Arabidopsis thaliana: one gene and its partner. The protein of the gene in region 1 purifies or fractionates together with the protein of each later gene. This does not show direct contact. Each region holds a gene or a part of one and is shown in the gene's direction. Other genes may lie near its edges. The genes, in order: AT4G24820 and RPN1A.

What was found.
Region 2: the proteins of AT4G24820 (region 1) and RPN1A purify together in Arabidopsis thaliana (affinity purification with mass spectrometry; 2 studies listed by BioGRID, with this or other methods). This does not show direct contact.

The regions. Positions count from the first base shown.
Region 1 is NC_003075.7:12,780,740-12,796,007, reverse strand, and holds AT4G24820 (26S proteasome regulatory subunit Rpn7), read left to right. Parts: upstream 1-3,285; 5' UTR 3,286-3,408; coding exon 3,409-3,547; intron 3,548-3,645; coding exon 3,646-3,760; intron 3,761-4,103; coding exon 4,104-4,194; intron 4,195-4,272; coding exon 4,273-4,418; intron 4,419-4,508; coding exon 4,509-4,728; intron 4,729-4,864; coding exon 4,865-4,973; intron 4,974-5,072; coding exon 5,073-5,241; intron 5,242-5,362; coding exon 5,363-5,537; 3' UTR 5,538-5,691; exon of another isoform or gene 5,692-5,939; intron 5,940-6,216; exon of another isoform or gene 6,217-6,409; coding exon of another isoform or gene 6,410-6,523; exon of another isoform or gene 6,524-6,640; coding exon of another isoform or gene 6,641-6,769; exon of another isoform or gene 6,770-6,957; 3' UTR 6,958-6,978; downstream 6,979-15,268. Other genes in the region: AT4G24830 (arginosuccinate synthase family), read left to right, coding at 151-223, 419-474, 562-643, 762-900, 1,020-1,068, 1,176-1,358, 1,476-1,550, 1,640-1,825 and 2 more; AT4G24810 (Protein kinase superfamily protein), read left to right, coding at 6,410-6,523, 6,641-6,769, 7,000-7,194, 7,336-7,383, 7,463-7,591, 7,681-7,805, 7,997-8,107, 8,223-8,331 and 4 more; AT4G24805 (S-adenosyl-L-methionine-dependent methyltransferases superfamily protein), read right to left, coding at 9,950-10,693; ECIP1 (MA3 domain-containing protein), read right to left, coding at 11,106-12,914, 13,090-13,184, 13,341-13,545; AT4G24790 (AAA-type ATPase family protein), read right to left, coding at 14,663-14,740, 14,836-14,887, 14,981-15,268. UniProt on the Arabidopsis thaliana protein: Acts as a regulatory subunit of the 26S proteasome which is involved in the ATP-dependent degradation of ubiquitinated proteins.
Region 2 is NC_003071.7:8,853,886-8,870,931, forward strand, and holds RPN1A (26S proteasome regulatory subunit S2 1A), read left to right. Parts: upstream 1-5,076; 5' UTR 5,077-5,325; coding exon 5,326-5,442; intron 5,443-5,762; coding exon 5,763-5,863; intron 5,864-6,002; coding exon 6,003-6,123; intron 6,124-6,201; coding exon 6,202-6,261; intron 6,262-6,360; coding exon 6,361-6,471; intron 6,472-6,674; coding exon 6,675-6,740; intron 6,741-6,822; coding exon 6,823-6,944; intron 6,945-7,087; coding exon 7,088-7,202; intron 7,203-7,356; coding exon 7,357-7,431; intron 7,432-7,860; coding exon 7,861-8,019; intron 8,020-8,115; coding exon 8,116-8,223; intron 8,224-8,294; coding exon 8,295-8,396; intron 8,397-8,489; coding exon 8,490-8,630; intron 8,631-8,718; coding exon 8,719-8,823; intron 8,824-8,905; coding exon 8,906-9,127; intron 9,128-9,219; coding exon 9,220-9,333; intron 9,334-9,412; coding exon 9,413-9,628; intron 9,629-9,728; coding exon 9,729-9,788; intron 9,789-9,877; coding exon 9,878-9,991; intron 9,992-10,083; and 9 more. Other genes in the region: GPRI1 (GBF's pro-rich region-interacting factor 1), read left to right, coding at 1,601-2,065, 2,133-2,180, 2,412-2,552, 2,631-2,975, 3,118-3,159, 3,258-3,371, 3,482-3,637; NFD6 (nuclear fusion defective 6), read left to right, coding at 11,337-11,497, 11,773-11,923; AT2G20590 (Reticulon family protein), read right to left, coding at 13,358-13,569, 13,653-13,775, 13,907-13,972, 14,060-14,129, 14,216-14,357, 14,444-14,518, 14,594-14,738, 14,819-15,281. UniProt on the Arabidopsis thaliana protein: Acts as a regulatory subunit of the 26 proteasome which is involved in the ATP-dependent degradation of ubiquitinated proteins. Required during embryogenesis. Required for optimal plant growth and stress responses. Required for innate immunity.

The DNA.
Region 1 (15,268 bases):
CGTCGTAATAGAGAAAAAAAAAAAAGAGTGTCGAAACCCTAGAGGACGTGGACACTGTTGGCATTCTTAAAAGAGCCACAAACCCCATTGTCGAACGAACACAAAACCAAACCGCAGACAAAGAAACAAATTCGCAGACAATAGTCGAAAATGGCTGAAATCTCGGCGACTTCGTTTCCTTCTTCTTCTTCCTCTGCTCTCGTCATCCGTAGCTCCCACAATGGTTCTCTCTCTCTCTCTATCCCCCCATTTCTTGTCTCCTCCATTTCGTTTCCTTGTTTTTATATTATTACCAATAGCTCTAGCTTGAATACAAAATTCTCCATTTCCCCGACAGTTTTCGTTTCTGATGTCTATTTTTATCTCCGCGAATTGCAAATGGGACTTCAAGTTATTAATATCTGATATAATTTCGCAGGTAGCTTAAAATGTCAGAATGTAGCTGTTCCAAAAACTACTTCCCAGTTCCAAGAGGTACATCCATTTGAAATCGATGCTCATACTTGTTGTTTCTTCGATGATACAACTAAATTCTGTATTTGCTTTTTACTGAATTTGCAGTTATCTCTGAAACGAAGCCAGCTTGTTGGCAATGCCGTTGTTACCGGTCATGTTACCGGATCCCGCAGCTGCAAGAATCAAGGTAAAGTTAGCATTACACTGAATCAATCCATTTCCTTTAACATATATTCTTTATCCCCTCTTGATGAAATTTTCCATTAGTACGTTTTAAACAATTTGCTGTCTTGAATATTGCACAGCTATTCGAGCTGTTCTATCCGGTGATGGAACCGCCTTGACTACTGATTCAAAGGAGGCTGGACTTCGTGGAAAACTGAAAAAGGTCGTTCTAGCTTACAGTGGAGGCTTAGACACCTCTGTCATTGTGCCATGGCTTAAGTATGTTTTCCTTTTTCTTGAGTTTATTTCTGACCTCTAACAAGAATACGTTTTGAATCTTCCTCTGGTTATGAAACAACTAGTCTGACCTTCCTTATATGTAACTATTTGTTTTCTAGGGAGAACTATGGTTGTGAAGTTGTGTGCTTCACTGCTGATGTTGGTCAGGTACATCACAAAAATGCCACATGTCAACTGTTTTAGTTAAGAAATGAAGTTTTATGTTGTTGCAATCTGCTTATGTCTTCTCAACCTCTAAATACTTTGATGTGAAGGGCATAAAAGAGTTAGAGGGTTTAGAACAAAAGGCTAAGGCTAGTGGTGCTTCTCAGTTGGTCGTTAAGGATCTCACAGAGGAGTTTGTGAAAGATTTCATCTTCCCTTGTCTTAGAGCTGGTGCCATCTATGAACGAAAATACTTGCTTGGTACCTCCATGGCTCGACCTGTCATTGCTAAGGTAACATTTCGAATGGTTTTATATGATTGACTTGTGAGGACTACCCCCACTATTTCTAATATCTGGATATATCTTTTGGATTACATATTGTCACTAATACATTTTCTAAATGATTAGGCCATGGTTGATGTAGCAGCAGAGGTTGGAGCTGATGCCGTTGCACATGGGTGTACTGGAAAAGGAAATGACCAGGCAAGTACTTGGAATGTCTTGCTAATGCGTCACATTGGAAAACACGCATTGATTCTTACATTACTTTTTTGTACTGATTGATTGACCAGGTTCGGTTTGAGCTCACCTTCTTTTCATTAAACCCTGAACTTAAAGTTGTGGCACCATGGAGAGAATGGGAAATCCAAGGCCGAGAAGATGCTATTGAGTATGCAAAGAAGCATAATGTTCCCGTCCCAGTGACAAAGAAGTCCATTTACAGCCGGGACAGAAACCTGTGGCACCTTAGTCATGAGGTAAAGTAAAAGACAAGTGTTGGTTCGCATTTTTCTTTTGGATACAAATTGATCCAGTTTGTCACATTGCTCAGTTCCTAATAATGTGTCTCATGCTCTGATATCAAACTTATGTGTTTTGTTGAAAGGGTGATCTATTGGAAGATCCAGCAAACGAGCCAAAGAAAGATATGTACATGATGAGTGTGGATCCTGAAGATGCTCCTGATCAGCCTGAGTAAGTTGGAATTTCTTTGAGCCCTTGTGTTTAACTATGCACTGTAATTACCCCAAGGTGGTTTGTAGTGGATTATAGCTGTGTTGATAGTTTGAAAACTAAAGTTGAGTCAGTTAGCTACAGAGCTGAGGTTTAGGCAGAATGAGTTGGTGTGTTCAGGATTTGTTTATGGTTTGGGATTGGGAATCAGATCTAGAATAGAGAGTTCTCGTTATTAAAGTCTCTCAAAGGAGTTAACTGGTTTAGCTGCTATGCTATCAAATTTAGATACCAAGAGTAGGATTTTGCAATTTGCATCCTAACTTTTGATACTTACACACTTATACAGATACATCGAGATCGGGATAGAATCTGGACTTCCAGTGGCGCTGAACGGGAAGGCTCTGAGTCCAGCCACACTTCTGGCCGAGCTAAACACAATAGGAGGAAAGCACGGGATTGGGCGGATTGACATGGTTGAGAACCGTCTGGTTGGGATGAAATCACGAGGTGTGTATGAAACTCCTGGAGGCACTATCCTCTTTGCAGCTGTACAGGAACTAGAATCCCTCACTCTAGACAGAGAGAGTATTCAGGTAAAAGACACATTAGCACTGAAATATGCAGAGATGGTCTACGCAGGAAGATGGTTTGATCCGCTTAGGGAGTCCATGGACGCTTTCATGGAGAAGATAACCGAGACAACCACGGGATCTGTGACACTGAAGCTGTACAAAGGATCTGTGTCGGTTACAGGGCGTCAGAGTCCTAACAGTCTGTATAGACAGGACATATCTTCGTTTGAAGGGAGTGAGATCTACAACCAAGCGGATGCAGCCGGGTTTATTCGTCTTTACGGGCTTCCAATGAAAATTAGAGCTATGCTTAAGAAAATTAGCTAGAAATGGTTTTCATTCATGTCTTACTTGGAATTGAGAGCCTGACATTAGAACACATCCCTTATTGTGATGCGTCGTCATAGCTTCAGCTTCTTTCGAAATAATTCTATCATCTTTCTTCACTTTGGAAAAACTTGAGAAATTTAATAATGAGTGCCTCTTTCTTTTATGATTTCCATTGGAAAGAGATATAAAATATAAATATCCATTACTTGAATTCAACGATCTTAAGTTTAAATTATTTATAACGAGAATTTAAATGTAAATGTTTTTTACTTTTTTTTCTTATGGTAAAAATTCCAAATTTAAATGTAAAAAAAGATAAGGGTGTTTAAGGTAATGCGAAACTTATTTTTTTTTTACATACACAAAAAAAAAAAACCATCGGACCTGAAATCTTTGTAAGCTCTTCCTCCTTGCTCAAGCAAACCTCTTTTTATATATTTGCTCTCTCTCTCTCAGATCCGATTCAAGCTTTCCGATTTGCGATGGACGGTGGAGCGGAAGGATCTCAGCAGCCTCACCTTATTCTAGCCAACAAGCTCTTCCTCCTCACTCATCCAGATGTTCCAGACATCGAGAAAGTCCAGCTCAAGTCTGAGGTTTTGGATTTCATCAGATCCCATGGTTAAGCAGCTCCTTTTCTCTAATCAGTGAGAATTAGCTTAATATTTCTTCGAGATTTTATGTTCCTGATGTTTCGTTGGTGTTTTTATTTATTTTAGGTATGGCTCCTTTGTACGAAACCCTAATTGCCTCTTCGGTGCTGGATTTGGATCAAAGCTTGTTAGAGTCTATGCGGGCCGCTAATGAAGAGGAGCTTAAGAAGCTCGACGAGAAGTAAGTTTCCTTCAGTTTCTCACTTTTATTTGGCAGTGCTTTGAAATTCGAATTCTCGTATTAGTATTTTGGGTTAGATTGATGTAGGGGGACTGTAGCATTCTGGGTCTCAAATTGGATTCAGAATTGTGTTTGCAAAAGTCCACTATGAATTTTGGGAATCTCCATGTTCCTGTGGTAGCTGATGTAGCATGATGTCTTAGTATTCTTAGGGAGATAACCATTACCTAACCATTGGTTTCTGAGTCCATCTTGGCCTCCGCTTTAACTTTGTAGAAACTTCTGAACCAGTATGTTATCAGCCAAAGTTCTCTTACATATTCTTTTCTTTCACTTTTTTCAGGATTGCAGATGCAGAAGAAAATTTGGGTGAAAGTGAAGTTCGTGAAGCTCATCTTGCTAAGGCTCTGTATTTCATCAGGATTAGTGATAAGGTATGTGGCATATCAAAGTTGATAGTTATGGTAACTTCCGTGGATCGTGGCCATTAAATTTTTGTTTTGTAATCCTAGGAGAAAGCTTTGGAGCAGCTAAAACTCACTGAAGGGAAAACTGTTGCTGTTGGACAAAAAATGGACGTGGTGTTTTATACGTTACAACTTGCTTTTTTCTATATGGACTTTGATCTGGTATCAAAGAGCATTGACAAAGCAAAAAAGTAAATGTCAATTTGGCTGTATTTTGACTACTCTTCATGGATAGTGCAACTGAAATCCTTGAATTAACACTTTCCGTTTTCCCTTGCCAGATTGTTTGAAGAGGGTGGTGACTGGGAGAGGAAGAACCGGCTAAAGGTCTATGAAGGTTTGTACTGCATGTCCACCAGAAATTTTAAGAAGGCTGCCAGCTTATTCCTGGATTCTATATCAACCTTCACAACATATGAAATTTTTCCATATGAGACCTTCATATTCTACACCGTCCTGACAAGCATCATAACTTTGGACAGAGTTTCCCTTAAGCAAAAGGTATTTCTCAATGGCTCAGTCTTCCACTTAGAGTTGTCTAAACTTAGATAAAAACTTTTTAGTATGTCGACTTATTAAAATGATGTATATCCATGTAATTTGTTGAAATTCTTATCAAGTGCTACTAATTTGACAGGTCGTTGATGCACCTGAGATCTTAACCGTGCTTGGGAAGATTCCATTCCTTTCTGAGTTTCTGAACTCCTTGTATGAGTGCCAGTACAAGGCGTTTTTCTCAGCATTTGGTAAGTTCATTACAAGGACCAGAGGTCATACATCCGAATGCATGTTGCTTGGCTTTTGTCTGTATGTTTACTAACTTCATTGTCGGCTTATGTTCTCAGCTGGAATGGCGGTGCAGATAAAGTATGACCGTTACTTGTACCCGCATTTCCGGTTCTACATGAGGGAAGTCAGAACAGTGGTGTACTCTCAGTTTTTGGAATCTTACAAAAGTGTGACAGTTGAAGCAATGGCAAAGGCCTTTGGCGTTTCTGTCGATTTCATAGACCAGTAAGCACAATAATGAACGCTCTTTTGTATATTTATGTTTGCCACCTCTCTTTAGAAGCATACAAAAAAACGATAATACAAACTTAAATCTGACTTGAAATGTATTTTTTTTTTTATCCAGGGAGTTGTCGCGCTTCATTGCTGCTGGGAAGCTTCACTGTAAGATAGACAAGGTTGCAGGTGTTTTGGAGACAAACCGTCCTGATGCAAAGAATGCACTTTACCAGGCAACAATCAAGCAAGGGGATTTCTTGCTAAACCGAATCCAGAAGCTGTCTCGTGTGATCGATCTGTGAGCATGCTACATGTTTCTGTTTCACTCTTTCGTCAAGCTTTGCAACTTGGAAACTCCGAACGGTAGAATCTTAAGGTCTGAGAAACGATATGAACTTTGGATTTTGAGATGAATGGCTGTAGTTTCTTTCATCAACTCTAGTTGGTTTGTCAGTGGTGAATTTCCCAAGAACAAAGAGCAAGTTTAATCTCCAATGTTCATTTTATTCTTCCTCGCATATGGCTTTTGAATCTGTTGTTTTCATCGCATCTATCTAGTATCTAAGAGAAAACGACCACCATACCTCTTACAAAATAAAGCTTTTGTTTCACAAGGTGTATTAGTTGACCATATAGATATACCAAGAAAAATGCATTAGTACACTTCATAATCTGAATGGTTAGAATTGAACACAAATTAGATACATCTAAAGGACAGTCCTTGGTTGAACTTGTGAGAGATACATACACAGTAGTTGGTAACTTGGTATTTTGCAGATTCTTCTTCCACGGACGTCTGTTTAGTGAATTAGGTGAGATTCTTCACCATCACACTTATAGGATTTACAATTTGTTTCTTACTGTTTAGTAAGTTCCTTTTTTCCTAAATTTTTTGATATGGTCTGGGGTTAGTAACAAGACCATCATTGTAAACTACTTTAAGATTTGAGGAGATTAGTACCTTATCTTCTATTGCCTGCCTAATTATAACCAGTGACTCACAGTGAGTGTGACATAAGACAAACGGATTTTGTTTCCTTTACAATTTAACGAAACAGTAATTAACACTCTCGAATGGATTCGTAGAGAGCAGCAAACTCCACTCTGACGCCATACATAAACAATTCTTAACTTTATCCTCTCATCCTTATCACTCTTCCTCAAAACTTCGAAAATGCATGCGATCGATTTCAAAGAGATTCAGGAGAAGCTCTCTGATGGATTCCGGCCTTGGCAACGATCGTTTCAGTTCTGGGCTCGTGCCACTGATATCTACACCGGATACAAGGTTTCTCTTTGATTGATGGGTACTCCTTTCTTCTTCTTCATGTTTCGTTTTGTAATACATTTTTCTTATGATTTTCTGCAATTTTCTTTCAATCTGTGTCTTGTTCTGGGCTTTTAGGTATTTCAACTTCGTATGAACTTCGTCAAGGATGTTAATAAGCACGAGGAGATGTGGGAGAGACAACATGAACTTGCTGCTCATAAAGTTTATTCTATGTGCTCTGACCTTGGTGGTTTCTTCCTTAAGGTAATGGTGTGTTGAGACTGTTGTTGAGGTTTGTGATTACCAGAGGGGACTTCCACGTTTGGGATTGTTATGAATTACTCATCTTAAATCTTGTTGTAACAAAAAGTATGAGTTTTTTTTTTGTTTCTTTGATGAGAATAAAGGTTGTACATTTTACTCTTTGATTGTTCACAGTTGCTTATGATGAGTTTTTTTTTTTTTTTTTTACTTTTTTTCATTTTGTTCAATAGATTGCACAAATTCTAGGGAAACCTGACTTGGCTCCAGCTGCTTGGGTGAGAAAACTCGTCACTTTGTGTGATCAAGCTCCTGCCACACCATTTGATGCCGTTCGAGTTGTCCTGGAGAAAGAGTTAGGTAAAAGCATCGAACAAGTGTTTGAAACATTTGATGAGAAGCCTCTTGGCTCTGCTTCTATTGCTCAGGTACTACATTCTTCATCACTCATAGTTTCAGAACCTTTGTACAGTATTACCGTGCATGCTTATAAAATCAGATAAGATTATAGTTTGGTTAAGAAAGTCTCAATATATACTGTATTTCACTTTCTTTTTGCTTCTATCTAGGTACACCGAGCAAGAGTAAAGGGTGACAAGAGGGATGTTGTTGTAAAGGTGAGGAATAATGAGGAGAAAACTGAAATCTTCCTAGTCTACTTTTAATTGGTTTCTGAATGTGCTACGACATGTTTAGGTCCAACATCCTGGCGTTGAGAAGTTGATGATGGTTGATATCAGAAACTTGCAAATATTTGCATTATACATGCAGAAAACTGATATCAAATTTGACTTGTTCTCCATGACAAAGGAAATAGAGAAGCAGGTATATATCATTCTTTCTATATTTTGAGGGTATCTGGTAAGAACTTTATAGCCGCCAAGTCACTATCAGTCCTTGTTTTCATTTACTAGATTGGGTATGAATTCGACTTTAAAAGGGAGGCCAATGCAATGGAGAAGATCCGACGTTTTCTATATGATAACAATAGAAAGAGTCCTGTTCTGGTTCCCAGGGTGTTTCCAAATTTGGTGACCAGGTACTTATTCTTATATTAGCATTCTGGTTATCCCAATAATGTTTTAAGGCTTTTTAGGTTGTCCTGTTTCACTGATCAAGAATTATGGTTCCTGTCTTTTCGACATAGTCTCTTTCCATTCGAAAGTTCTTTAATTTTCGGTTATATTCACTAATGAGTGCTGATCAGAGGAATAATCATAATACGCACAGGAAGGTTCTGGTTATGGAATTCATGAACGGAATCCCGATCTTGAGCCTTGGTGATGAGATGGCAAAAAGAGGGATAAATCCTCATGGTAAAATGGCAGAGGCAGCAAAATTGTAAGCTCCTCCATTATCTCAGATAGGTTTTTGACTTTTTCCAATGGCATTGGCGGCTTTTAAAGCATTTGGATCTTGTCTAATGCTGCATTGGAAAATGTATTTTGTTTTCTAGCAATATACTACACAGTTTGTCCCAAGCATATGGCCAAATGATACTGAAGAGTGGTTTCTTTCATGCGGATCCACATCCTGGGAATATCTTGATTGGTAAAGGTTCAGAGGCAAGTCATCTTTTGTTTGTAGTTATTCTTTAGTAGTTTCTTAATTGACTTACTGTGGTCTTTTGATACGTTTTAGTACCGTCTATATATTTTGAGTTGTAATCTTTGTTTCCCGTCATCAGGTTGCACTGCTGGACTATGGTCAAGTGAAAGAACTCCCTGACCACCTGAGACTTGGTTATGCAAATTTGGTAATTGCCATCGCTGATAACAATGCGTCATTGGCGTTACAGAGCTTTAGGTGAAATAACTTTGTTATCATGATTATGGTTCTAATTGAAGCTGAAAATTGGTTAGTCACCTATCGGATTAGTGTGGCATATGATTATTACTTAGATGTTTCTGTGGTGTAAATTCAGGGAACTTGGTATAGCTACAGTAGCCAAGTGTAAGAATGAGCAACAAGAGCTTCTCCAGTTAGCAAAAACAATGTTCGACACAGAGATGCCTCCTGGTACGACAACTCTGCAACCTTTCTCAGAAGACTCTTCGATCAAAAAGATTTCGGTTGAGGTAAAAAAAGAAAACACATATTCAGTCAACAGTTGTGTGTGTTTTGAATATACTGCAAAAATTTGAGTGTGTTTGCTGGTTGTGGGTAGGCATTTCCAGAGGAACTCTTCTCTGTTCTTCGCACAGTAGTTCTGTTAAGAGGACTCAGCGTAGGGATTGGCATTAATTACTCCTGCGCTCAACACTGGAGGGCTATGGCAGAAGAGGCTTTGCATGCATCTGGAAGACTCTCAACAGGTTAAGACAATGAGCAACTCTTTTATAGTGATTTACCAAATACGTTTTTCTAATGGAAAATAAAATTTCAGGTAGAAAGCAGAAGCGTCGATGTAGTTCTCTTAGAAGGCTATACCCAGGGCCAAGAGAGAGTTAATAAAATCCCCTGCCTCTTGCAAATGATGCTCTCAGTCTTTAGTCTTTACATTATTTTCTGGATACAGCTAAGGCAGCAAGTTGTCTCTTACCTTAACCGGTTTAGTTGGTTTGAAACTTTGACTAGTGAGTACATCTTTATAAAAGTTTTGTCATTATAATGTCAGATTTGAGCACAAGGAGAGTTGCGTAAGTTTTAAAACTCTACTTTTGTGCTATTTGTGAGATACACCGACAAAGTTACATGGCAACTACTAGGAACTATAATAGTCAAATTTGTGAGAGTATCATCATCAAGAACCAGAAGTAGCTTTAAACCGCATTTGCAATATACATTTGGTTGTGGTTCGAACCCAAATTTGAGAATGAGTGAAAGAATGAATGAAATTCATTTATTTCCATGTCAACTTTTCAATAATCACAGAAAAAAAACAAAAATCCCTCACAACACACCTTAAAACTTGACCATCACTATCATGTTAATTCGATTTTCCATATTTTCGACAAATTTAACCAATGAAAATAAGGAAAAGACAAAGGTATTACATATTTATATCAGTAAAAAATAAAACTATAATTTATTTGATGTATACATTTGCAAGTGTATAATAAATGATAGAAAATGAAAATACAGTCCAAAAAAAGAAACAATTTGCTATCAACTTAACAACGAATCTATGTAATGAAATGAAACAAATTAAAACAAAACTACATTTATGAATCTTGAAGTGTTTTAGTTCATGTTCTTTCTAAAAACAATCTCAGTGTCAAGCCCAAACCCATCGATCTTCCTCATCTCCACAACCTTGGATCTCTTAAACAATTTCACCAATGGTTTCACACTAAGCAAATCGTTAGCCGAGTACTTATCCGTCTTCCCAGATATCGACACGTGTAACACACACACCCCTCCGGGCTTTAAAGTCCGTTCGATCTCCCCAACGAACTTCTCCGGGTAAAGCGCGTGATCGAACACGTTTGAGAATTCGAAATCGAATGTCTCTTCGTCGAACGGCTGCGCGTGGAAGTCACCTTTCACCACGAGAGGTGGTCGCGGAACCAGATCTATTCCGACGGAGTCTTCCACGCCGATCAATCTCAACGCCGCAACCTCTTGTCCAACCCGAGCACCGATCGAGAGAGCTTTTGATTGATTTGAGAGAAGACCGCGATCGCTGAGACGTCGGAAGAAAGTGGAGAACACACGAACTTTCCTGTCCCAGTCGCGCGTTGTCCATACCTTACGTAGCTTCGGGTTCTGAGTTTTGTTGAGCTGGTGTTTGATGTATGCTTCGTAGGAGGAGTATCCATGGTGACGGATCCGTATTCCTTCGTCGGCAACGGAGGTGACGGAGGAAGAGGAGGAGAGAGGACGGCGGAGGAATGTGGTGGGGAAGGCGAAGAGGAAGATGATGAGAAAAGAGAGGGAGAGGAAGAGAGAGAGTGTGAAGGGTAGTTTTGGTATTACGAATTTCATGTTAGCTTCGAGACTTCCCTTCCTTGTTGTCTCTGTGTGTACATCGAAGCATATATGGGAATTTATTTAATTAAAGAAATGATTAAAGTTTGGATCATAATTAGAAAAACACCAAATGCAAATAATATAGTTTGTTTTGTCTAATTGTCATCAAGGCATTATTATTGACTCTGAATTGAAACTTGATCCAATATAGCCCCAAAGTTCCGTTGGACTAAATTCAGAGCAATAAAAAGGTCCTCTGAAGAAAAAAGTTAAACATTCGTGAAAAGATAAGCTCCCTGGGCAGAATTCTCAAAGCCTAAAAGTGCAAAACAAAACAACCACAGGGATGCTCAAGAGAGAAAGAGACTTGTACATTCTATCAGTTTTTTTTAGTTCACACACCATTTGGGATATCTCCTCTTGATCTCTAGCCTACATTAGCATCTTCAGTTAGGGAAGTTAAAAACGACGACGAAACCCAACCATTCTTCTTCCCATACTCCACGTAGTCGTTGAATTTCTCCTTTGCGTTTGGGATGTCTAAAGCAAGATCTTCAAGTCCGTCTTTGACTCTTGTGAACCCTTTGGTCATCTGGTTTGTGGTTATGAGTCCTTCACTGAAACTCTCCTGCAGAAGATCCAGCATCATCTTGTCCTTCTTCTTCTCCATACCCATCACCAGTGCTTTCTTCACCACCTCATGGTTGAAGAAAGGCATGCCTAGCTCATGGATGCATTTGCATGCTTCTGATACCAGCCCTGAGCTTTCGTATTCCTCCAGGAGATTTGATATCTTGTCCTTTGCATCTTCCACTGCCCAACCGCTCCCACCTCCCCAGCATCTTAGAAGCCTCTCTCCTGCATGTCGAGCAAAGATGAGTGACCTAGCCATCTTCACGGTTTCAGTTCCGCTTGAGTTAGGGCGTAGTTTGCTACTGATCTCTTCCAGGTTAAAAGGTGCTAAAACATCATCGATCACAGCTCTAGCTAAGAACAGAGCAAGTTCGTTGGACGCATCCAGAATGTCAAGAGCTGTATCTTCTGCAGACTCCAGGAGCATGACGAAACCATCTGCAACATCTTCTGTGGTGAACATCTCGATGTGAAGAGATGAGAGAAGAACAGATGCCATTTCTTTCTCGTGATTCTTCCTGTCCAAAGCAAGTGTTATCAGCTTCTTTAGAAAAATTGGGTTGTACTCGGGTGCTCCTAAATCCTCAAGACTGCGTATGAGTTCTGGTATGTCATCAGAGTTGAAATACTCATGAATGATGGTCACAATGTCTTCCTTGAACCGCTTTAGTTTCTCATCCTCGTTCTGTTGTCGTCCACATTCACCAGAGGGATAACCAAACGAAGCATCAAGCCAACCACCTGAGACAGCTTTTGGCACAATCAAACCAAATTTGGTTCTAGCTGAAGGAATGTCAAGAGCAAGATCATCAAGGCTTTCTCTTAATCTTGAAAATCCCTTCACCATTTGACTAGAGCTTATCAGGTTTTCTGAAGCTGCTTCATTTAGCAGTTTCAATACAGGTGCTTCTGCTGCGTGGTTTTCCAAGGCAGTAACTAAGGCCCTCTTCACAACCTCATGGTGAAAGAAAGAAACACCCAACTCTCTTACGCAACGACATGCCTCATAAGTCTCTCCAGTCTCCACATATTCATTCAAAATGTCAGCAATCTTCTTCTTGACTTCCTCAACAGTGGTTCGAGTCTGTCCACCCCACCTTCTTTCTACTAGCTCAGCATGGTGTGCAGCTGATAGATAGCTTTTCTCTGCAGTTTGGACAACCTGGTAACCTTTAGAAGTTATTGGAAGTGCCTTGGCAGCCCTAGGAAGAAAAGCTGGAGGAAGTATGTCATCCACGACAGCACGTGCAAGGAACAAAGCAAGAACATTGACAGCATCAGGTATATCCACCACAAAGTCATCGGCTGACTCGAGCAGCAGGACAAATCCATCTCTTATCTGGTTCGGGTTAATGACATCAGCATACAATGCGGAAAGCAAAACCGAGGCCATTTCCTTCTCTTTGTCATGCCTGTCCATCGCTACCGAGACAAGCCGCTTGATGAAGTAGGGATGATATTCACTTGAACCAAGTTCAATGAGGTCAGCTGCTGCCACATCAACATCACCGGTGCTGAAGTATTCGTTAATGATGGAAGCTGCAGCTTTCTTGTAATCATCTAATGGGTCTGACAGAGTTGCACCAACAAGCTCGAATGGTTCCTATAAAACAAAAAAAAACACAAAGAGAGCTGAGACTGATGATCTCTAAAAAGTAACACACAATGGATAAATTTTCTACATCATCTGAACAGCAGATGGACAACAGAAACAGTTTTGTGCAAGTACTTTGGCAAGAAAATAATCAACCATCTAGTACGAAAGGTGCAGAAACTACCTCTCCACTGTCATAATTAGGATCATTCGGGTCAATGTGATAGTCTCCATCAGTGTCAATAAGTTTTCCCCAATTTCCTTTCCCACCACCTCCATCTGAAACAAAATTTATCAATCACCGCTACCCGAAGAACAAAGGAAGTATAAATATGCAATCTACACAATTTTCAGCTCCAAATTTGACTAAGAGCCATCCCTTGACACTTGATGGTTTAGAAACCCAAATCTAAACTGATAAAGGTAGTAACTGACCCTTCTTAGAGCGAATAGACCTTCCCGCATGAGACCTTCTGTGCTTCACAGCATTTGACGCACCAGAAGCTTTCCCACCACCAGATGGTTTAGGCAGATGCTCAAGTAAAACCGAGTGAGGTTTTTGTGAGGGTGGAAGATCATCTGCAGTCTGAGTTGCAACTTTCATCATCTCTCTCTGCTGATCCGTTAGGAAACCCTCCATCCTTGGCAATTACCCTAACAGTGAAACATCATCAAATCATTCCTTTAACAAACACATACCATACAATAAATATCAACCTAAAACCAAAACAGCATATAGCTAAAACCACAAGACACTGATGTGAAACGACATAAATGGAGATCTAAAATCACCAATCCATAATACAGAAGCCTATGCATCCCAAGGTTTCATCAAATTCTTCTACGTGTCATTCTTCACATATTTCTACAGCAATCAATCAATTAATCATTCCCGTGACTAAATGCCAAAACCAAAACATCGGAGAAATGTTTGAAACTCCAAGTACCAGTAACTGTTAATGTTCAAATCGCCTCGTCGTCAGCCAAACTATCCACAAAGCAGACCGTCGTACGGAAAAAGAGCAGGCGAGATCCGTGGTAAGAAGAAAGAGGACGGAGGCTAGATCGAAAAGAAGAACCCGAGTCTGAAGCTGCGTAAGCTATCCTGGAAAATAGTAGTAATGTTTGAGAGAAGATTGTTTGGAGAAGAAGATGGATTTGGGAATTTTGGGAGGAACAAAAAGCTTACAGAAATGGAGGCTGCTGATTCTCATCAAAGGTCTCATCATAAGGACTGTTGCCACGTGTTACTGTCTCAACGGTCACGATTGCTCGTTACATGTGCTGGCCTGTCCAAGAGAGATATCGATTAGGGTTATGGATTTAATTTTGGAGTTTTCCTACCAAAATAGTGAAACCAGATAATTTATAAATATCTCTCTGTCAATATCTTATCCCAAATTACTAAAACCTTATCCAAATTATGTTTCTAATTTCAAATCAGTTTATTGAAAAAATTAAACATTATCCACTTTTTGTAACAAAAAAGTTGAAGACTAATGTATTCACTTTATTCTGATTCGTTTTAATGAATGAGATAATTTGTGAAAACATAATGAGCTCAGTCAATAAAAGGGTCCAAAGACAGTAAAATTCAGGTCTGTTAAAGGAGTGATTAGTATATGCTAATCTAAAATATGGTCTTGAAACACATTTTGCAACTATACATTTTTGTGTCACATTGTCCTAAACAATGGGTTTGCTAAAACCTATTGGTTCCACTTCCACAAAATGGGTATTACCCTCATCGAGCTCCCTTAATTAGCTGCAGTGCTGCAGGGAAGGACTCGGCCGATAAGCCGTGAGCTCTTGCTGTTCTGTGTCTCGCTCTGACCCTATAAGACATGTATCATCATCACAAATTAGAAACACCAAAAAGGTACAGACAGAGATCTGAAACCGAATTCTTAGGCATAGTCGAGATGTTTACCTTGCCTAGGGGAGTCTTCTTCCAACACAACACATCAGTGTCATCTTCTGGCCTGCACAAAGTCAGAGGCAGAGTATACTTGAGTAGCTAGCCAAATCACAAAACAACTTACTTTTGAAATGAATAAATATGAACCATGTTTTACCTTTTTTCACCCGGAGGAATGTGTGGAGTACACATAGCAGAAGTTGCATCGCCTTGATCACTGGAACAGCTCATACGCGATGATGCATTGGCTGAAGAACGAACACTTCGAGCCCTCAAGACATTTCCTTGGCAACTTCTCAGAGAATTTGTAACTGCAGGCTTTTCAGATGCGCAGTCAGAGTCGGTTCTTGTAGTCAAATACGACTTGTGAAGCATTCTACGAGAACAACTGAAAAGTCCAAAGAAAAGACTTGCTGCTGCTTTAGCACTCTTTGGTGGAGAACAC
Region 2 (17,046 bases), on another chromosome or scaffold:
TCCACTTATACCTAATGAGACAATTCTGTCCTTTTTTATAAGAGCATCTTCCACAGCTTAATTTGCGAGCCTCATTCACGTCAATATATAAGGGGTATGTGATACGGTAGATGGATTGATTATTTACATCCATCTACATGTAAGTTGACCAGCATAGACCTTTTACATAGTGACATAGAACCGTTGAAATGCCATCCGATTGATCAATAATGTTGGGACAGACCAAAACCAAGATACCAAAACGGTAAAGGGACAAATGCGACAATCAGATATTGAACTTTAAAGTTGTGGCTCTGATCCAGTTTGGCAACAACTTCACTTAAATTTTTGTGTTACCAACAAAACAGGGAAAAAGATTCGCTAAAAGAGTTGCCTAAATATATGTTTGAGCTTGTTGTCGATATTTTATGTTTATCTAAACAGTAAAAAAAAAAAAATTTATGTTTTATTTACCACATTTAGAACTAGGCATATATATATATATATATCTTATTATATAAAGTATGGTTTTTAAAGTTGCTAACTCATAAGATTGTGTCACGTGTCAAGTCAAACGATCAGATGTTTACATGTATCATTCAAAATTTAACTTTTTTATTCTCTAAAATTAAATAGAAAATCTTAAAAAGTAAACAAATTTACATATACTAATTTATATGTCTATATATTTATAAACAATTAACATTTATTCAACAAAAGGAAAATTAACAAATTTGTCTTTAACTCATGTAATCATAAGTGAAAATAGAACATTTTGAGAAAAATAGCTTATCTTATAGGATTTAACTTTTCAATTATTTTCATTTATTAATTTTAACTCATTTAATATTAATTTGCATGATGTAAAATTAACTTACGAGATTACGGCATATATAGAAAATATATTTTCAACAATGTTTGGTTTCTAAATATTTTGTGGATTTCTTTTTTTTATTAATTATTAGCCCTAGGCGTTTGGGTATTCGGGTCGGGTATTTTGGGTTCGGGTTTTCGGGTTTAGAAGTTTAGGACCCGTTCGGGTAATTTAAGATTTCGGGTCGGGTTCGGTTTGGGTGGGTTTGAGTTTATTTATATATTGAAATATCAAATTTTGTGTGCAAATCTATTAAATTACTTGAAAATTTCAAAAATTCCCAAAACAACACGAGTAGTTTTGCTTGAATATATCTAAAAATACACAAAATAATTAAAATATCCAAAAAATCCTAATATTTTCTATATATAAGTATAAATATAACTAATATATATTTATATTTGAAATATGTTTGGATACGTATTCGGGTTCAGGTTCGAGTTTTTTGGGTTTTGAAGTTTAGATCTGTTCGAGTATTTGAAAATTTCGGGTACACCCGCCTCAATAGGCGGGCCTTATCTAGTATATATATATATATATATTTTTGTGATGGATTTCTTTCTGTCTCTCTCTATATATAGCATATAAATGAAAATGAATTATATTTGCCTTTAAGGGAGAAGAAAGAGACTTACTTTGGATATCAAAACATGTCTTGCTCTCTATTCTAATTAAGTCTAGCCTATCTACAACATACATAAACCTCTATCTACGATTATATTTGGATCTACAAGTGAAGATTGATCGATGTTAGCTCTGTCTCCGGCGACAAGAGATGGTTGCGACGGAGCGTCAGAGTTTCTTGATACGTCGTGTGGATTCACGATTATAAACCCGGAGGAGGAGGAGGAGTTTCCGGATTTCGCTGACCACGGTGATCTTCTTGACATCATTGACTTCGACGATATATTCGGTGTGGCCGGAGATGTGCTTCCTGACTTGGAGATCGACCCTGAGATCTTATCCGGGGATTTCTCCAATCACATGAACGCTTCTTCAACGATTACTACGACGTCGGATAAGACTGATAGTCAAGGGGAGACTACTAAGGGTAGTTCGGGGAAAGGTGAAGAAGTCGTAAGCAAAAGAGACGATGTTGCGGCGGAGACGGTGACTTATGACGGTGACAGTGACCGGAAAAGGAAGTATTCCTCTTCAGCTTCTTCCAAGAACAATCGGATCAGTAACAACGAAGGGAAGAGAAAGGTGAAGGTAATGATTTTAATCATATCATCTATATATAAAACATTAGTCTTATATGAATAAAAACCCTAGCTAGACTCGATTAAATGAACAGGTCTATAATGGATTCGTATTTTTTTTAAAAGTGGATTATTCGTTTAGAATTCATTTTCTTGCTAAATCTTCTAAATTTTTCATATTTCAGTCATGTTTACAAGACTCGTGTAAAGACATCACGTGCATCTCTATAAGACTTTTTTTCTTTCAAATTATGTAAAATAGTCAGCTGCTAATTGTGAATTTTATATAGTATGTGAAAAAGTATTGAAAAAATAATGAAGATGGTGGTTATATATATGTTGGGATGTGTGTGAAGGTGGATTGGACACCAGAGCTACACAGGAGATTCGTGGAGGCAGTGGAACAGTTAGGAGTGGACAAAGCTGTTCCTTCTCGAATTCTGGAGCTTATGGGAGTCCATTGTCTCACTCGTCACAACGTTGCTAGTCACCTCCAAGTTAGTATATTTCTTTTCAATTTCATTCTCTAATATTAACCATCCAAATTAACATGTTGCTGTTATTTGGTATACTAGAAATATAGGTCTCATCGGAAACATTTGCTAGCTCGTGAGGCCGAAGCGGCTAATTGGACACGCAAAAGGCATATCTATGGAGTAGACACCGGTGCTAATCTTAATGGTCGGACTAAAAATGGATGGCTTGCACCGGCACCCACTCTCGGGTTTCCACCACCACCACCCGTGGCTGTTGCACCGCCACCTGTCCACCACCATCATTTTAGGCCCCTGCATGTGTGGGGACATCCCACGGTTGATCAGTCCATTATGCCGCATGTGTGGCCCAAACACTTACCTCCGCCTTCTACCGCCATGCCTAATCCGCCGTTTTGGGTCTCCGATTCTCCCTATTGGCATCCAGTAAGTTCCCACATTTATGAAACCTTTACTTTAGCTCTTTATCATATTTGTTTTCATCATAGTATTTAACATTATGAAAGCTGAATGACACCGAGTATTTTTATCATATGCTTGTCTTTCTAACCAGCATTTTTGCATGTAGATGCATAACGGGACGACTCCGTATTTACCGACCGTAGCTACGGTAATGAACCAACATTTATAAGATTGTTTCCGTATGTATACCCCTTTTTGTTTCTATATATATGTTTTAAATCGTATTTTTGATTGGTAATTGTATAGAGATTTAGAGCACCGCCAGTTGCCGGAATCCCGCATGCTCTGCCGCCGCATCACACGATGTACAAACCAAATCTTGGATTTGGTGGTGCTCGTCCTCCGGTAGACTTACATCCGGTAAGAATCTAATATAATGAATTGATTGTTGTCGAGTTTTGACTTTTCGCATTTGATTATGTAATTATGTATTTTTGACTTTTTGTGTATATATATTATAAATGGAACAGTCAAAAGAGAGCGTGGATGCAGCCATAGGAGATGTATTGACGAGGCCATGGCTGCCACTTCCGTTGGGATTAAATCCGCCGGCTGTTGACGGTGTTATGACAGAGCTTCACCGTCACGGTGTCTCTGAGGTTCCTCCGACCGCGTCTTGTGCCTGAAACGCACAAGATCCGTAGGCAAGCGAGAACCAAACAAAAATTCGACGACATGTCTTTCAATTATTGTACTTTTATTTTTCCAAGGGTTGTTTTTGTTTTGACCCTTGTTGTGTTAAGAGTTACTCTTTACTTAATCGTCCCATGTGACTAATAAGGAGACCCTTTTCATATGTATCTAGGGTGCTAAGTACACTCTAGCTCTATTAACGCAAATAAATTACCTATATTTTCTCTAACCATTGGTGATTTAGAACTTGATTGCTTATATAAAGTTTTTTTATAAAACATAACACAACAAATTTCCATATCAAATGATCATATGGAAATTGGAAGCGTTCAAAGCAAAGTCGCAAACGACGACCAATTGATTATAAAGAGGACAACCTCACGAGTATATATACACTTATAATTTATAAACATAACTTATACTTAAAAATACCAGCCGGTTATATATGGTGAAAAATGAGTAATGAAATTGTGTGTTTACCATGCATATATTACCGTATAAAAACGTATTGTTGGGATTGAGAGAACAATGGCATAAAATAATAATGAGGAGAGAGGGAGAGGACCACGAGATAAGAGGAGAAGGAAGTGCATGGAGGCAACGTAAAATCCAACGTAACGACCTCTTCTTTCTCCAATTGTGACCACTCTCTCTCTCTCTCTCTCGTCTCCTTCAAATTTGAATGGTCCCTCTCTCTTCATAATTGATAATTCATATACATGCGGATACTATTACTAGCATCTCATTTTCCACTCACACTTGTACACATATGCTTTTTATAAGTACGTATTTATAGGCAAAAGTAAATATATTCAAACCCTACATGCATGGTATTAAAATCCAATATAACCAAAATGAATACTCGGTTCAAATTCAAAAATTTAAAGGACTTTGGTCGAAGATAATGAAGACAAATCATTTTTTTTTGTTCTAACCGGACATTCCAAATCGAAATGCACACTAGTTTTTGGTGCCTACATCTACATTGGCTAACTTTTACTAAAATCATAGTGAAAATAACAAAAAACCATGGTCTCTATAAACTCTTTGGTGAAGATTTCAACTACTAAATTACCATGAGATAGATGGTCAAAAATTGTCAATATTGAATTTACAAGGATCATGAGATATTTCAACAATTTTACTAATGACCAGATCCAATGCAGTGAATTAGACGAAACTATGACTTCACTAGGTTGTGAAAGAAAAGCTTGTCTTGCAGTTTTGTCTGCGACCGGTCGAAAAGAGAATGAAAATATGTCGAAATCCTCTTCAAACGTGAAATAAATTAACTGTCATAAGGATAAATTATGTTTGTTCAACCATACAGAAATATGATGAATAAATAATTTTAGACATGTGGGCCCATGTAAGAAGAACTCACTAAATGAGCCCAATACGGTTAATGGGCTGTGACATTGAAAAAGAGGTTGTAATGGGCTGATTGATTCTATAGTGTAGAAATCTTGATCGAGGGGTTATCTTCTCCGATTCCAATATTTAGATTCTTCTTCATATATTATTGTGCTTTGATTAGAGAGTTGCAGAAGAGTTTTTTTTGTTTTAATTCCTGCAATCAGAGAGTTTTCGATAGCACAAGCACAAGCTTCTCGATTCGTTTGAGTGTTCAAATTTCAAGCTTTTTACAAGGGGTTCCTTAGATTGATCTGTTACTGTAGAGATGGCTCCAACTCAGGATCCCAACAGTGTCGGAGGCGGTGCGAAGAAAGATGAAGCTACCTTGAAGGTTCCGTCTAAGGATCCCAAGAAGAAGGACGAGAAAAAGGATGAGGATTTGGTAAAGTTTCTTCTTTCTCGGTTTTTTGATTTATCGAATCCTTTTTCGACATTGTGTGTCGTGTTTAGTATCTGGGTTCATCAGAAACGAATTAATTTCAAATCTGTAAGATCTGCAGTTAGGTTTTTAATTGGAGTCTCGATCGAGTTGAAGTAGGGGTGTTATAGAATTAGGGTTTTTAATCTGGCAAAGTGAGTGTTTTGTTCGTCATTAGACTAGCCGGATTAGAAAGTTGTTAACTTGTGATGTGAGGAAAGTTTTTTTTGTTTGTATATGGTCACTTTCTTAATGACTCGACTTACATTGGGTTGTGATTGTAGTCTGAAGAGGACTTGGAACTAAAGCAGAACCTTGAGCTCTATGTTGAGAGGGTTCAGGATCCTAATCCGGAATTGCAGAAGGCTGCCCTTGAGAGCATGAGGTAATTCTTGACTTGATCAGCTTCGGGTTTTCAGATTATTGCCACTGAAGCTTGTACAACTTATAAAGCTTTTTTTCTTTCTCTCTGCTCTTGGTGTACATGTTTATGTTTTTAATTAGAGTTTTATTTGGCTTTGTAGGCAGGAAATCCGAGCTTCAACAAGTTCCATGACTTCAGTTCCCAAACCACTAAAGTTTCTGCGTCCCCATTATGGAACTCTTAAAGCGTTTCATGAAACAATGGCTGATTCTGATCTCAAAGTATGTCATCATTGATTTCAAGTCATTAACAATTCTTATATTGGTATGGCTTAAAAATTACATTTGCTATGTTTGCAGAAGTACCTGTCCGATATCCTGTCTGTCCTGGCCCTTACCATGTCTGCAGATGGTGAAAGGGTATGCTTCTACTGACTTGGGCATACTTTGTATTCTGATTTGTATTTTTTAAGGCATACTTTGAACTGCTAATCACTTTCTTTTACAATATAATTCCAGGAAAGCTTAAGGTTTAGATTGATTGGAACAGAGGGTGACATTGGATCGTGGGGTCATGAATATGTCAGGAATTTAGCTGGAGAGATTGCACAAGAGTATACAAAGCGTCAGGTTAGAAATCAATTTTCGATTTTGTCTTTGGAAATTCAGTTTCTCGTCCTAGGACTTGTGCAGATATTCTAAGATTGTTGGAAGTTGTGTTTGGGTTTATCCTTCTGAATTCTGATGGTTGGAGTTTTGAGGAATGACTAAATGTGTCTTATTCAATGAGAAAGGTCACTGAGTCATATTTATCTACCTGTTCATTATCTCAGAGTGAGGAGGCCTCTATTGACGATTTAATGGAGCTTGTGCAACAAATTGTTGCTTTTCACATGAAGGTGAATTCCTAAACTAATAGGGCTTGAGATTAGCACCTCTGCGATTTATTTATTTCTAAACGATTTCATTTACTCCTTGCAGCATAATGCAGAAACCGAAGCTGTTGATCTTTTAATGGATGTTGAGGATCTTGATCTCTTACTTGAGCATGTAGACAAAACAAATTTCAAGAGGACATGCAACTATCTCACAAGTGCAGCTAGGTACTTTAAACATAGTCAATCCTATTTATTTTATTTTTCCTCACTCTTTGTTATTTGAACTGATCTTGTAGAAACAAGTGGTGAGCTTTGTTTATATTTGCTTCCAAAAATCTCTCTGACGTCTTATATATTTGAATTTTCAGGTACCTTCCTGGACCAGATGACATGTTGGTTCTAGATATTTCCTACATGATTTACATGAAGTTTGAAGAGTATCCAAACGCTCTGCAGATTGCACTATTTCTTGATAACACGCAGGTAGGACTTTAATCTTTCTATAGAACGTAGTTTCATTTCATTCTTTCTGCGTGTGAAGCATTTGGAAAAATCAATCCTCTATGTTTTATTTCGAGTATTTGCGTAGACATTTTTGATATTTAATGTGCTGTATGGTGTATTTTCTGTATTGCAGTATGTTAAACAAGTATTTACCTCATGTACGGATCTGCTGAAGAAGAAACAGTTCTGCTACATGATTGCTCGTCATGTAAGTCCTAACTATCTCTACTTTACTACAATTCTATCTCATTCTTTCTTTTCGGTATGTATGTTTTGATTTGGATCTTTACTCCTATATGCTTTGATAGTTGGTTGTGCTTTTATTCGATTGTATTTTACTTTCCAGCTGTTACATAAAGTTAGCAGAAAAAAAATGAGAACATAGTTTGTAGTTGTAATTCAGCATGATCTAGAGGGAATTTAAATATGTTTCTTGAACATTATTTTTAGTCCAATTTTGTATTGTTTTTCTGGGAAGACCTCATTCTTTAGCGACACTGGCCTCCTCCTATTCTCTTCTAAGGCACACACAGATTAACTGCTGCATCGCTGTTTAAAATTTCCATTCATTTAGAGACACAATACCCGATTGACATACTTTCTTATACTTCTCCTCTCGTCGTATGCCTCCCTGCAGGGTATAACCTTTGAACTTGACGATGAGATGGTTGCAGATGATGATGACCGGGAAGCCCTACAGGATATTGTTAACAACACTAAGTTAAGTGAAGGATATCTGACCCTTGCAAGGGATATTGAGGTCATGGAGGCCAAAACGCCTGAAGACATCTACAAGGTAAATCAGTTTTAATGTGTTAGGCTTGCTACTCATTTATTTAGTTACAAATTATGTTTCCCTCAGTCTTTGACCTGCCCTTTTTGAATTTTATAGGCTCACTTACTCGACGGCAGGGCTAGCTCCGGTGCAAGCGTGGATTCTGCTAGACAGAATTTGGCTGCTACCTTTGTCAATGCATTCGTAAATGCTGGTTTTGGTCAGGTATGGTTGCAGATTATAATAAAATAGATCTAGTGGAAGACGTGTCCTCTTAATATATTTGCTTATCGCAGGACAAACTAATGACAGTACCTTCAGACTCAACCACCGGATCTTCTGGAAACTGGCTCTTCAAAAATAAAGAACATGGCAAGACTAGTGCAGCTGCTAGTCTGGTATACTTTTTCTTATTTGATGAATTTATTTACTGTGCTCAGATCATGGAAGTAAGAATTGTAACCAGATCTTTTTGTTTCCCTATCATATAGGGTATGATTCAACTGTGGGATGTGGACTCTGGACTTTCCCAACTCGACAAATATTTCCATAGTAATGATAATCCTATCATTGCTGGAGCACTGCTGGGAGTTGGGATTGTAAATTGTGGCATTAAGAACGATTGTGATCCTGTGAGTTGCTGTCGTGTTTGATTTTGCTGGGACCATTTGTGCTAATATTTGCAGCCACTCTTCCATCTTACTCAGCCTTATTTCTCAGGCATTGGCACTTCTTGGAGACTATATAGACAAAGAGGATTCATCTGTCAGAATCGGTGCTATCATGGGTCTTGGAATTTCATACGCAGGTTCCCAAAATGACCAGGTACTTGTTATATTCTTTCCCATATTACTACTTGAATGTTTCGGGTGTTCACAAAACTTTAACACGTACACTGTTTCAACAGATTCGAAACAAATTGTCCCCGATACTGAATGATGCAAAAGCGCCTCTTGATGTGATTGCATTTGCTTCACTTTCTTTGGGAATGATATATGTTGGTTCCTGTAACGAAGAAGTAGCCCAGTCTATTATATTTGCTTTGATGGATCGAAGTGAGGCAGAACTGGGTGATGCCCTCACTCGTTTCTTGCCACTTGGTCTTGGACTTCTATACCTGGGCAAACAGGTTAGCAATGTGTTTTACATAATCTCGCTCTTTGTTCGTATATCATTATTTGCATTGCTTGACCAACATCAACTTGTTCCAATATCTACCAGGAAAGTGTAGAGGCTACAGCTGAAGTTTCGAAGACCTTCAATGAGAAGATTAGAAAGTATTGTGATATGACACTTCTTTCTTGTGCTTATGCTGGAACTGGAAATGTCCTAAAGGTATCTAATCAATTGTGCTGGTGGTTGAGTGACATAATTCATTACTTGTTTAGTTGTTGACTCCTACTTATATTTTCAGGTACAAGACCTTCTTGCTCAGTGTGGCGAGCATCTTGAGAAAGGTGACATCCACCAGGGTCCAGCTGTGCTTGGGTTAGCAATGGTTGCTATGTCTGAAGAACTGGGAGTTGATATGGAGATCCGTTCTCTGGAGCGGATGCTACAATACGGAGAACAAAACATTCGGCGTGCTGTGCCTTTGGCCCTTGGTCTCCTTTGTATATCCAATCCAAAGGTAAATACTTTTGTAAATGTAGTTTTACTGCACCTGCTTACAATTATTAGTGGGCGTCTAGAGTAATACTGGGTTTTTAATATTTTTCCCACAATTCCAGGTGACTGTAATGGACACCTTGAGCCGGCTTAGCCATGACACAGATTCGGAAGTTGCCATGGTTAGCAATCATTTCGCTTCATAGCCTGTCCCATATTATTTAGCTGAATAGTATTGAGAGAGGACTGATCTTTCTTTTGACTCGTACAGTCAGCAATTATATCATTGGGACTGATTGGCGCTGGAACTAATAACGCAAGGATAGCCGGGATGCTTCGGAACCTCTCCAGCTATTATTACAAAGACATGAGTCTTCTCTTCTGTGTAATGTGTTCCTCATTTTGGTTTCTGTACCCTGCGGTAAGCTGTTGTTCTTGTTGGAATTATTGTAACTAACTTGGTAAGTCATTATGCAGGTGCGTATTGCTCAAGGGCTTGTGCACATGGGAAAGGGTCTCTTGACACTCAGCCCCTTCCACTCTGAACGGTTCTTGCTATCGCCGTAAGTTCATTCTTTTTGTCACCAATAGAACCAAATCTTTTTTGATAGTTGGATGTTCAAAGGTTTCTCATGCGGACCTTATTTATGCAGAACCGCACTTGCTGGTATAGTGACACTTTTGCATGCATGCCTTGACATGAAACCAATCATACTCGGGAAGTACCATTATGTGCTGTACTTCCTCGTTTTGGCGATGCAAGTGAGTTCAACTTCTGTCCTGTGTTTCTCCCTCTTGTTAGTTAGGTCTGATGAACTTGCTATGATTTGATATTTAATCAAATTTTGTTAAAAAAATGTATAGCCAAGGATGATGTTGACAGTGGATGAAAACCTGAAGCCACTGTCAGTGCCAGTGCGGGTAGGACAAGCAGTTGATGTGGTTGGGCAAGCGGGTCGGCCCAAGACCATAACCGGTTTCCAGACACACTCCACACCTGTTCTCCTGGCTGCTGGAGAGAGAGCCGAACTAGCCACGGACAAGTATGTTATTCTTTTTCCTTTCTTCCTTGTACCCTTTATGTTGCCTACTTAGGTGTCTGATTATAAAACTCGGATTTGTAACTGGCAAACAGATACATTCCTCTGTCGCCAATACTAGAAGGATTCATCATCTTAAAGGAGAACCCAGACTACAGAGAGGAGTGAAGAGAGAGAGCTTCTGCTTCCAGCCAGTTGTCACTAGTTTTACTATTTCGTCTATTATCTCATGGTTTTTCTACTCTCCGTTTAAGCTTTGTTTCATTATCTTGGGATCTTTGTATGACCTGACGCTTTTAGTTATATAAACTTTAGTCTCTTTTTTTTTTTTTTTTTTTTAATCGCCACCAAGTCGACACATATTCTTGCCAAAACCAATATTGACTCAGTTTAAAAAATAACGATCCATAAAATTTTCCAATTACTTTGATCACATAAAAAAAGTGAAGAAATGTTAGCCACTTGCATAGTGCCGTTCAAAGACGCACAAATGAAATTGGGCTTTCCTTTGGCCCAAAAGTGTTGCGATCGCGTTTATAACAAAAGACTAAGGTTTCGTCCAAACTAAGATCGCGTTTATAGGGTTTATCATCATTTCCCGTAATCGTAATCGGAGTTCAGGCTTCAGCATTCTCTCTTCTTCTCTCTCGCAGCCGTAGTTTTTGATCTTCTCTTCAATTCTCTCTCCTGATGGCCACGTCCGCCGTCCTCTCCGGTGCCAGATCGATGCTTCGAGCTGCTTCCTCACGCAGCGCCGCTGCTTCTACTGGCCGCTTCGCCTCTCAAGCGAAATCCGCTCCACCATTGTTTAGAGCCACTGCCAGAAGAAGCCCACTGCTTTCTCCTCTCCGGTTAGTCTCTCTCATACCCATTTCCTTATTTGAGCTCATTTCACAGTTTTGTGCTACTTGAAGCTTGAAATGGGTTAAATTCGATCGAATTGTGAAAAAAAAGAAGGAACTTCTCTATGTAAAAATTACATTTTTGCGTTAATCATGTTTCCAGATCGATTATTCACAAGTAAAAAAGATGAAATTTTGCATTTTGATGTTGATTTTAAATGTGAAACTCTCTTATCACATTACTTAAAAGAATTTGCATTTTTGTTTGTTTTTGATGTGAATAGAAATCCTGTGGAACTGAGCTTCTGTGTGGAGTCATTGTTACCATATCACTCGGCTACAGCTTCAGCGCTAATGACTTCAAAGCTTTCTATCTCTGGCCAAACCTATGGCTGGCTCTCTGACGGTACTTTCTCACATCCTTCAATTTTGTAATGCTTGAATAATGGCTTAAATATGTACTAAATATTGAGTGGAGATATGCTTTGTTTGATTGATGAAATGTGTTTGAGAGCTGTTTCTGTATTGGCTTTCTAGATTGTTGTATTAGACATAGGTAGAGAACTAGTTTAGATTTTGCCATTTAAGAAGCTTTCTCGATCAGTGTAGATTCTTTTTGGTTGTTGCTATGGCGAAAAACTGGATCAGTTGTTGTTGTCTTTCTGCTTAACGTTGTAAAGAGATAGCGGCTCAATTGGTCTAGTTTTTCGATCTTGTAGGCTGACACAAGTGTAGATGGAGACAACGAAGCCAAGATCTGGGTTTTCATGCAAATAATATAAACGATTAGAACGGGTTTCAGGCAATAAGATAGGCTTTAGATACACATCAAGCAATGGTTGATGCTGCATTGTGTTTTAAAAGAACTGGTTCTTACATATCTTCTTAAAAAAAATACATGTACCCGGAAACGTGTCTTCTTTTCTTGTTGGTTATAGCATTTGAGTTATTACTGATTGGTCTTATACTCCCAGCTTGCAATGATGATGTGTGATGAGTTAGCCAGAGGAACAATGAAGCTACAGTTTATGTACAAAACCTCTACCTTTTAAAGCCTTCTTCTTTAGAAAAACTTAGGAACGAAAACCCTCTTAATTTTGTTTCTGAGTTTCTTGGAGAGCTTTTCTTTGTTTTCAGCCTATTAAGTAAGACATGTTGTATTGGTTGGACGAGTAACTGATGTTTGGTATAATTTATCAGCTTGCAAAGAGGACTTTTGATGATGTCTACGCGTACCCAATGCGAGATTGTTGATTGCGAGAGAAGGTTTAAGAGTATTTAGGCAAAGAATAATTGTTGTACTGTTCAAACACAAATCATCTCTTTGTCTTTAGTTTTCATATCAAAGACAAATGTCCAATATCTTTTGAATCAAATCTCTATGATTTCTATTACATCAACATACAAACTCAACAAAATTGCATCACTTCTACTAATTTAAAACTTGGAAACATCCATGAGTTTGAATACTATAAATTATAATCAAGATTCTACCAAATATATATATATATATATATATATATATATATATATATATATATATATATATATATATATATATATATATAATCAAGAATCTCATCAAAATAAGTAGGGAAAAAGTAGCAGATTTGGCAATCAAATTGGCACATTAACTTGTCGACCCTTAAACTTGAAAGAAGGTTTCAAGTTTCTTCTTCTTGTCCCTTGGATCTTATGAAACATTGTATTCTCTGCCAAAGATTCACGACTTGAATGGGCAGCTTTGTTAAAGGATCTCTTTGTCATTAATTTTTCATATTAAAAAAACAGATCCTTTCGAGATATAGAATTACATCTCTGTTGAATGTGGATTGATACAAAGTACAAACACTACAGTTTCTTTGATCCTTAAGTTTCTGCAACCACCACCACTAAAGCTCGCTCTTCTGATGGCTGTGTCTGTTCTTCTTCTTGTGGAACTGTTTCTTCTTCTTGTGGAACTGTTTCTTCTTCCTGCGGGAGTGTTTCTTCTTCTTGCTCATTCTCAACAGGCTCAACTTCCTCGGGAGTTAGCTGTAGATTTTGTCTCCTATACCGAAATATCACCAGGATGATAAAAACTGCAGAACATGAAAGACGTATACGTTATATTTTGATACAAGGCAAACCAAATACTCTGTCAACCATTGGTTAGGTAAATTACCTGCAAATATTCGGGTTCTTATGCTCGTCAAGTTCCAAAACGCTGTCACCGCAGAGCCAGCCAAGATCTTCTTGTGTGAGCAGACTCCCCATGCTTCACCTATTCTCGTTTTCACTCTTTCAACTGCACAAATGAAACTCAAACCAGTTCAAGAATTTAAACCATTGGACCAGTTAAAGACATCTACAAACACTTGACTATTGATTCTAACACAATTGACAATATGTGAATGGGTGCAATTCATTATTCTTCACCTTTTTGGCTAATCTGATGCGTGTAACATGAATACAGCTTTGGGATGGTGAAACTGAGGAAGAAACCTGTTTCAGTAACCATACACACATATCATCATCACAATTCCTATCATGCTTAACAATGTTTCAGCTTATGTTCCAAATGTTAATTACCAAATGCAGATAGCCTCCACAGTGTTATGAGATGACCATACTCAGCTCCAAGTAGCAGAAATGGTGTCACCTGTGACAAAAAGAAAATCAGCAGATGAAAGGGCAAGTAAACCACCAACACATAGCAATCACCAAAACTGATTTGATTTTGTTTACTTTGAGTGTCATTGATGGTTCTCCTGAAAAAAGCTCACTAGTCTTCGAGATAAAAAAGTTGGTTGCAGGAAGCACTCGTCTAGCTGAGCGCAAGACATCATCTTCACTCACATGGAACGCTCTCTTTGTGTCTTCATTTTTCCTAAAAGTAACAACACATTGAAGGATCACACTAACTATTAGCTTATGGAGAATGCCAAACAAAAGAGACCACAGAAGTAAATGTACCTTTGACAAAGAGTGTTTGACAAGAAGGACCCGCAAAGTAACACAAGTCCGAGATTGGAAACCGCCGAGAAAACGCTTCAAAACAAAGAAAAAGGTCATGACTTTCACAAATCTAATTGAGCCTACAAACACAAGCTAGATATTTGGTACCTAAAGTTGACTCCTTTGGCAAAGCAAGAAGATAGGAAAGACAAACATCCAAAACCAAACCAGAGAGTCGATTTCGCAACATCTCTCCACATTACCAAATCACTTATAATCTCTCCAATCAGATTCAAATCGCTCTGACATGTATCTTCACCAAACCCAACACACAAGCAAATCAGAATTAAGCAGAGAAACACATAAAGCAGATAATAAGAGAAAGAAGAGTACTTGGAAGATCTGAGGAAGAACAAAGAGGAGGAGCTGAACTTTGCTTATCCTTCTTAGGTCGACCATTAGTCTTCCGCTTTCTAGGAGGAAGCTTTACGATTTCTTCGATAACCAAATTAGCTTCTTTCTCTTCCACAGCTTCAGATCTTCGCCTCGATCTCCGGGGATTCCTCGGAGATGCTAAAAGACTCTTTTGCCCTCCTTTCCCTTTGCCCCGTTTCCGAACCACCGCCATAGCATCTTCAGAAGTCATTTCGAGTCGATCGGATAAACGGGTCCTCGATTTTCGAAGTGGAGAAGGAGGTAAGAGGAGGATATCGCGAAGAGGAACAGGTGATGATGGGTTTGGAGTATTGGGAGACGACAGAACCAAATCAAGAGAGAGATTTGGAGGATTCGAAGAATCTTGGAGACGCGAAGCTGATTTAGTGTTGGATCGGTGATAAGGAGGCGTAGACTCCATTATTATGAAAAGGGCAAAATCTCAGAGAATTGAATTTAAGAATCTCAGAGAATTGAATTGAGAATCTCAAACAAGTAATAAGGTTTTTCCTTTTCCGCATCCAAGAAGAAGACAGAGATGTCTGATCAGATATAGCCGTTGGAGGAATTTTTGTTTTTCCTTAAAAAAGATTCCATTTGAATCTTGACGGTCGTAGCAAACGTCGCTCCGTCTCTCTTTAACGGCGTAAAACTTATGGGAGTTTTTTTTTTTTTTTTTAACGTCTTATTTATTAAACTTAAAAAGAGATTACAAATATACCAATAAGCATATAAGTGAGAGCTCTACAATCCATACAACCAATACTTAAGTTGAACGAAATAATCGAAAAAGTGAAATTACACATTGCTTCCTTTCGTAGGTAAGCCTTACACGCTAACAGGGTTATCAATCTGTTATTTTCCTTGATCGTCTTCGTCTTCGGTCTAATTTGATCTTCTTGTTTGGCTATCATCTCTTTAATGAAACTCCAACACACTTTTCGAAAATCAAAAGGTTGCGATCCATCAGTTACATCGCTAACCATATAATTATTTCCATCACCCGCGTGAGACAATGACATTGTTTTGGTTGTAAATGTTGCCCATGATAAATCCATGATCTCGATTCTCTTGTTGACGTTCTTCAAAGACCAGAAATACAAGGTTCTTATGATTTGATTCCATGGTGGTTTCCAAGGTGGTCGCCGTTTCCACAACAAATCTATGAAGATTTGTTTCAAACATCGGAAAGCCACCAAACGATCGCGATGACCACCGGAAACTAACACAAAACTAACAATACATGTTAGAGTTGACATATAATCGACAAATTATGTCGGAACAAATACGGCGTAGCCGTCGGAAATTGCATTTCGGTAAGAAACCCAACACATCCAAAGGCTCATGTTCACATCCATAGATCTTCCACCATGTATGTTGAACAGAAACACTTGGAATCTATACATAACTGATTTTTCTTACAGATCTAAAAGTGAATTAAAACTACAAATAAGAAGAAGAAGTTTGGATTTAGAAATCCAGAATTGAGAGCAAATACTTTATTTAGATTAAAACAAAAAGCAAAATCAAACTAAAGAGAAGAAATGGAACCGCCGACAAGTGCCGGCGGCCCTAAACCAATCGGAAAAGATGGAGGCCAAAGAAGAGAAACGGTTACTGGTTCGCTTGTCCAATCGCCAACGAAGCATAATTCTATGGGAGTGTTTATTTTTGCCAATTTCAAGCAATATACTAGTATGTTTTTTTTTTTATCATCCGATTTTAATTAGAGTTCAAAAAAGTAGAACTAAGGAATATTGCTTACAGATAATGTCATTTTATTTTGATAATTTTTTTTATTTTGCAATTGTTTAACTTAATTATTTATAAATAATTATTAAATGGAAACAATCTTGACATAACAAAAACATTCACTCTATGTTATGTGTTTCAAAACACGATCCACTCGATTTTGAAAGAGAGGAACAATAGAAGGCATAGAGACGAGCCATCACCAAGCGAGAGGGTGATAAGAATCATCGATAAGAACATTAATAATTAATTAAGTACAATACAAAATGGAGATGAGCGGAAGTATGAAGTAGGTTTACGAGATTGGTTTGCATCAAAGGCACACAATGAAAGATAATTTCTTTTGTTTATTATTTTTCTTAAAAAGTTTGCATTAATTTGTATAGATGTTTATTAGTCTTTGAATATAATTTAATATTAGATTAAAAAACAAA